2 linked regions of the Kluyveromyces lactis genome follow. The protein of the gene in region 1 interacts with the protein of each later gene in a biochemical or structural test. Links are inferred from orthologs where the notes say so. Each region holds a gene or a part of one and is shown on either strand. Other genes may lie near its edges. The genes, in order: PPH3 and PSY2.

Region 1 (3,254 bases):
ATTTGATGTCACTGGATTCGGAAATTGCTTGTGAGAAGGATCTATCGATATCCATTGGAATTGATTGCATCTGTGAAGTGACTTTCGATTTCTCCTCGCGCTCCTTCAACTTACTATGATAGTGTAAGAGCTCTTCAGAAAGCTCTTTGTTAGTCTTGTTCAGAGTTTCTATAGTCGCCTGGTATTCATCTCTATCATTTTCATATTTCGATTTCAAGAACTTGTATGCAAGTTGTAAATCCGTGATAGCCGTTTGTAGGTCCTGTTGTTTTGAGATATCGTTAAGTTCCAATTCTGAGGTAGAAAGGGGCGCGTGTTGCAAAGAACTGCTTGAATTCTGTGGGTATGCATCCAACAGGATGTCGATGTTTTTCTTACAAAATGAGATTGGATCATGTACACCCTCCTCGTTGGAAGAATTGTCTATTGATGCCAAATTGATACCTTTAGAAATGGAGCTAGAGATCAGGTAGGAGGTGATCTGTTCCACTTTCCCCTCATCCTCATCAGTGCTTTTATTGGCTAAAGATTTATCATTCTCTAGTACCAATTGGACTAATTCTTTCAACGTGTCAACGTCTACCGAGCCAAGCTTTTGTAAGAAAGTAGTTCCCTTAGTACTTAGAGAACCGTTAGCAGATTCATTAATCAAGTACAATGCAAATTCCAATTTCAATTGGGAATCCAAATCCATTGGAAGCTCATCCCACTCCGAATTTTGTCTATTGGATATCAGGGAATTCGTACTCGTAGTTTGCAAATATTCATTCAACTGTTCATTGGGGTACTTCCCATGCAATTTCTCTACAAAAGAGGTATTGTACTCGTACCATTGGTCCAGGTTATTACGAAGCATTCTATCAAGGGGCTAGCTGCGATCAGTATCTAGCTTGGTTTGGTAGCAACTTACATTTTAACATTCCGTTCATCTATCCAGACGCGTTGATTCCGATCAATGCCTTTCTCAATTACCACGCACGGGACATACATGCAGTTTCCGGGTAATACAAGCACATTATCAACCACGTGATATTTGACATCACCACGCACGAATACCGCCATTCCGATGTCTGGGTGTCATCTTCCGAAGGCTTACATAAGCACACCTCATTACCCGCATGTCACGTTAAATTATCGTTTTTGTGGCCGAAACACAAAAAAGGAAGCAAACTGATAAAAAGAAACGTGAAAAAAGAGTACAGGCAAAAAAAAAGAAACAATGGAAGGAGAAGAAGAAGAAGAAGCAAGATTCTGAACAATTCCCATATACAACACAGGCAAGCATTCCACACTACGCTATATACTGTAGACATACCGGAAAGCGCAGACCGACAAGTTGACTTTTCAGGCTAACCGAAAAATGTAATTGTTGTTACCTCTTTTGATACTTGATACTTTTATTTCTCTTGATACTTGCATTTTGTCTATCTCATCGAATTTTGGAAAATAAGAAAGTAAAGAAGCTTTTAAGCCTATATTGTTAATGATGACTATTCAGTTTACCTTTGTTAGATTAGTTTAAGGTAGGTTTTTGTTGGATTTGATCCAAACTCATCACTATAGAATAATATCGTCAGTTCTTGAACAGGGAATCACTTTTTTTTATCTTTTATACTTCCAGTTGGTTTTAACTTTAACGTCGTCTGAGCATCTGTCAATGATGAAACTCGATGAGATTATAGAGACTCTAAGGCAGGGGAAACATGTTGACGAGGATTCGATATACTCGCTGTGTGTCATGGCTCAAGAACTTCTTATGAATGAGTCTAACGTGACACATGTGGATACGCCAGTCACAATTTGTGGAGATATTCATGGCCAATTGCATGATTTGTTGACTCTCTTTGCTAAGAGTGGAGGCATTGAAAAGAATAGATACATCTTTTTGGGAGATTTCGTGGATAGAGGGTTCTATTCGTTAGAGAGTTTCCTTCTTTTGGTATGTTATAAATTAAGGTATCCAGATAGAATTGTGTTGATACGAGGAAATCATGAAACAAGACAGATTACGAAGGTTTATGGGTTTTACGACGAAGTGGTAAGGAAATATGGTAACAGTAACGTATGGAGATACTGTTGCGAAGTATTCGACTATTTGCCCTTGGGTGCCATTGTAAACAACAAGGTTTTCTGTGTTCATGGTGGATTATCGCCGGACGTTTTATCAATCAACGAAATACGAACCATCGATAGGAAAAAGGAGGTACCGCATGAAGGTGCTATGTGTGATTTATTGTGGTCGGATCCAGAGGATGTGGATACTTGGTCTCTTTCCCCGCGTGGTGCAGGTTTCCTATTTGGCCAAAACGAAGTAGATAAATTTTTACACACAAATAGTGTCGAATTAATCGCTAGAGCTCATCAATTGGTCATGGAAGGTTATAAAGAGATGTTCGATGGGGGATTAGTCACGGTATGGTCAGCACCAAACTACTGTTATCGTTGTGGGAATGTGGCTGCTGTGCTGCGCATCGATGACGATATGACGAAGGATTACACCATTTTTGAAGCTGTTCAGGCGAGGGATAGTGGAGGTAATGTCATTCTCCCTACGAAAAAACCTCAAATGGACTACTTCTTGTAACTTATTACCATTATTATTTGCATTTTTCTCTCTCTCTTCTCGATTTGCTGACCGATTCCCGTGTTATTGGTTCAGTCTTCTTTTCTTTCAGCATTATTTAACAGCATGGTATATCACCCTGATCCTCATTATCAACCGACCATCCTCCCAGCATAGCTCAACCTACAGTTGTTGCTTTGTATTAATATTACCTCTCTTCTTAATCTCATTCAACACAGTGATATACCACATTTCAATAAAAGTATCCCAATAGGTATGTAACAGTAAACTATTTCAATAATTGTACGATTGAATTATATGATTCATTTGATAGCATACATATTATACTGTAATATGGAATTTCTGGTTGTATTCCATTCGAGCAGAACATTTATGACGATACTTTTACCTTCCCTTCAATTTTGGATTTAACGGTAATATTTTGATATTTGATCTTCAATTAAGTATCTCAACCTTAAACGGAGTCTTACAAAAAGTCAAATAGACGTTTAGATGCAAGGGAACAGCTGACCGGGCAATATTCATACACCATGTGGAGATATAATCTAGCACTTACCAGACGAATTTTCAGTTCGCAGCCTGCTGCTCTAGTACGTCAGTATTCTGCTTTCAGAAGGCTTCCTAGAGTGGCAACTCCGGTAAAGGATGTTTCTCGTTTGGGCTTCAATGG
Region 2 (4,291 bases), on another chromosome or scaffold:
AAAGTTTAAAACGGACAATGTTGTTAGATAAGACTGGTAGAAGGATTCTACAAGACAGACCAAACATCACATCGGAAAGCCTTGACATGGAACGATTGTCAAAGATGGATAAAAATTCAGTTGGCTATACGTACTACAAATGGTTGATGAAAGAGGGGGTCTCTCCAGACACAAGGGCACCAGTTACTTATATCGATGATCCTGTCCATGCTTTCATATTTAAGAGATATAGACAATGCCATGACTTTTATCATGCAATAAATGACCTACCAATCATAATCGAAGGTGAGATTGCAGTTAAAGCATTTGAGGCATCAAACATTGGTGTCCCAATGGCTGCACTTGGTGCTCTATTAGCACCATTGAGATTAAAGAAAGTGCAAAAGGAAAGACTTTACTCCATCTACCTCCCATGGGCAGTCAAAGCAGGGCTGAATTGCAAACCTCTCATCAATGTCTATTGGGAAGAAATCTTGGATAAGGACATAGACGAACTAAGAAGAGAATTAAACGTCACACCACCTCCAGATTTGAGAAAAATTAGAAAGGAAAGAGCGAAACAAAGAAAACAGTTCAAGCTTAAGTATGAGACCTACGAGAAATGAATTTTAAACCCTCAATCCCCAAATCGTGATGGCTGGCGTAAAGTTGCTTTGTAAAGTATAATGCAGGGTCATTCTGTGGATATAGGAACCAGGAAAAAAGAAATAGAAATACGTACGTAATGAAATAAACGTCTTCAATTGAAGAGGAAAAAGATCGCCTTTGCTTGATCGATTAAAAAATATATCTATAGCTAACATCCTTGCTACGTACAGTACCACTGCCTACACTTTTATTTGCTAACGCGGTATGTTAAACAATTATGATCGAACTTCAGTACGATGTCCTCTTTCCCTCGGTGTGCTTTGCAGCCTTAAAACTGTTCTTTTTTCTTATCACTGCGTTTAGCGGCCAAGAAGAAGAAAAAAAAGAACAAAGTTAAAAACTATCCAATTTAAGACTTCTGACCAGGGCATCTCATCTCACCCCATAATAAAAGAGAAGCAGTGTCTTGTGAGGGTTTTAAGCGGAAGGGGAGGATAATCTGATATTGAACATACAAGAATCTGTTACTTCAAAGCTCTTATAGCGCTTGTGTTTAATCCTCTTTGTCCTTTTTTTTTAACTGGAAGAAGTCACTGACGCTTTCGACGAAGTGTAAACATTCAAGTTTTCTTTCGGACTCACTCGGTTGTTAACGCATTGCAACTTTTGCTTACAAGACTTTGAACCTATTTTGTCAGGTCACAATTAGCAGAAAGAGCTTACGAGATCTTGCCATTTATTAGGGCTTCGATCAGCATAATATAAGATATGTCTGAATCTAACAATATGCATGTTTCTGGGGATGGTGCCAAACAGTCGGTATACACTGAGAAGAAACGCGTGAAAGTCTATGTGTTGGAAAATAACGAGTGGAAGGATACTGGGACAGGGTTTTGTCAGGGGACAGTGGAAGAGCGTACTATAGATGACACTCAGACTGCAGAGAAAATGGCGTATCTTTTGGTGGTCGATGAAGACTCCGATGACCAGGTCTTACTTAAGTCCAGGCTCGAACAAAACATCGAATACCAGCGTCAAGAGGAAACTCTTATTGTCTGGAAGGATCTGAATGGTCAGGATATAGCTTTATCCTTTGAAGAAAGCATTGGATGCGATTCTTTATGTGAATATATTTGCTTTGTACAGAAAAACATTGAAAGCCGCATCTCTTTGGTAGCTGTAAGATCGACAGATGATGGAATCGGGTCTGTTCATGAGATAATAACAGGACCGGTCAATCTTCCCTCAAATGTACCAAACCAGACAGAAGAATCCCTTTTAGAAGCATTGAAAATTCTAAACGAAAACACGTCATTTGATTATCTGCGAAATGAGACAATTCAATTTGTTATCAACGATCACTATTTAGCAACACTAATCAGATCATTCTATCAGTCAGAAGAATCTAAACTATATCGAAATTTATTATTATTGAGCAACATTGTGAAAACTCTAATATTGTTCAACAGCAAGGAGATTTTGGAAGAGATGATCAATGATGAAAACTTTTTATGCGTTTGCGGTATATTGGAATATGATACTGAATTTCCAAACTCAAAACTTAACCATAGACAATATTTGAAAGATAAGGAGCCAAATTTCAAGGAAATGATTCCCATCTCAGATCCAACGATCAAATTAATGATTACGCAAAATTTTAGGCTTCAATTTTTGAAAGATGTGGTTCTAGTTAGATTTTTGGATGATCAATCTTTCACCTTCATATCTGACCTAATGTTGTCATACCAGAATTCCATAATAGATTTCCTACAGGAGGATAGCAACAATTTTATTAATCAAGTCATCTCGATGTATAAAGTTGAGGAGGATTCAACCGTCACCCCAGATAAAAGAAGGGACGGTATAAAACTATTACATGAATGCATCCAACTTTCCCAAAACCTAAATTCAATAGAAAAAACCCTTTTCTACAAATTTTTAATCAAGAAAGGGTTGTTCCAAGTCATCCAATTTGCATTCAACATGGAAACTAATAACGATATTCGAATCCTTGCAACGGATATAGTTGTGGGGCTCATTGAACACGATATCCAACTAATCCAAAGTGTGCAAAGTGACGAAGTCACCTTATTGAATGACGAGAATTCAGATATTGATTCTACAGATATGTCTCTTTTACTTATATTGACCAAGATCCTGCTCACTGATAAGAGTCCGGGATTGAAGGAACAGTCCTTCCAAGCACTTGTAAGTTTATTAGATCCTGAAGACTATATTGTAGATGACTATCAAAACCATGATGACAATATCGACACACGAATTGATAACATGCTTCAAATTCAGAATGGCAAAAATCATGATGGATTAGACGGTGAACGAAATCACGAGAAATTTCAGCTAGCTGAGTACTTGCAATGTTTCTATAGACAAGTTGCGCCCTCCCTTTTCCATTGCTTCATCGATGGATCTGTTAATCTCTATGAATGTGATCAACAGTTACTCATAAAACTTGTGAAACTTCTCAATCTCATGATTCAAGGTCATGAGGCATCAATATCTAGACGATTTATTCTCGAGAATGGAATTTTGATCAGGCTTATATCACTTGCTTCAAGCGATTATATCCTTCAATTAAGGCTTGCTGCAGTGCGTTGTTTCAAAAACATCGTATTTTTAAATGACGACTTCTATCTTCGATATCTTATTGGTAAGAATCTCTTCGATCCAATATTTGAAGTTTTTAAGGAAAATTTGAACGAAGATAATATGGCTAATTCTACAATTTTAGATTTCTTAAAGTCGTTAAACACTCAATTAAAAGTGGTTGAGCAGGAAGATATTCCGCTTTCCGGTAGTAAAAGTTCAAGGAATTTCATGCTGTTGAATAAGTACATCTGCGGTAGATATGGTGATATATTACTGAAGGCAGATTACGTTTCTTTCACAAGAGAAATGATGGCTATTTATCATGAGGAAACCCAAAAGCTTGCTAGTTTATCAACAACGGAAACTAGCTTTGATGAAAATGATAATACTACACTGGAAGTTGAAGTATGACATTCAGATATATCTGAAGATGTGATGCATTTAGATGCATATTAATAATAAGGTTAAAAAGAAGGAGGTTGTTGTTTTATATAGGGATAAGTATTAAAAAAACTAGGATAATATTCAATTCAAGGTCAGATCTTGCATTCTCTAATTGAAAAACAAGACTTTGAAGTTATAGATGGGAGAAAAAGAATAAGAGTTATATGATCTGTGTGTTACAGATTTACTATTTTGAATGATCCAATCACAATGTGCAATGGATTCTCCGTTAGTCAACTAATAGCCAGAAGGAGAAGGTTCTTATAGTTTTGAATCAAAAGCATAATTCAACTCTTTAGGATAAAACTCTCTCGTTATTTGTGTGCCTACATGCCAGGCACCACCGTCGACGACGTGAATAGTTCCGGTGATGTATGAAGCTGCAGGAGAAAAAAGGAACACTGTCGTGTTTGCAATATCAACTGTTGTGCCAAGCCTTTGCAATGGAATCATCTCTGACAGATCTGAGCTCGAATCATTTTTAGTGAGTCGTGCCAACCCTTCAGTGTTGGCGATAGCACCAGGAGCTACACAATTGAACCTTAATCCCAATGGTCCCATTTCTACAGCCAATGCATTTGATAAGGCATCAATACCGGCTTTGGCAGCACCTACATGTGACTGAAATGGAACGCCATAGTAATGTAAAGTG

Evidence for each region.
Region 2: the proteins of PPH3 (region 1) and PSY2 form a complex in vitro, tested with the Saccharomyces cerevisiae proteins (2 studies listed by BioGRID). The link is inferred for Kluyveromyces lactis from reciprocal best matches to the Saccharomyces cerevisiae genes PPH3 and PSY2.

Annotation. Positions count from the first base shown.
Region 1 is NC_006041.1:889,487-892,740, reverse strand, and holds PPH3 (phosphoprotein phosphatase PP4 catalytic subunit PPH3), read left to right. Parts: upstream 1-1,657; coding exon 1,658-2,584; downstream 2,585-3,254. Other genes in the region: PEA2 (Pea2p), read right to left, coding at 1-856; AIM25 (Aim25p), read left to right, coding at 3,115-3,254. UniProt on the Saccharomyces cerevisiae protein: Forms the histone H2A phosphatase complex in association with the regulatory subunits PSY2 and PSY4, which dephosphorylates H2AS128ph (gamma-H2A) that has been displaced from sites of DNA lesions in the double-stranded DNA break repair process.
Region 2 is NC_006040.1:1,588,728-1,593,018, forward strand, and holds PSY2 (Psy2p), read left to right. Parts: upstream 1-1,356; coding exon 1,357-3,606; downstream 3,607-4,291. Other genes in the region: ubiquinone biosynthesis protein COQ4, read left to right, coding at 1-605; SPS19 (2,4-dienoyl-CoA reductase (NADPH)), read right to left, coding at 3,901-4,291.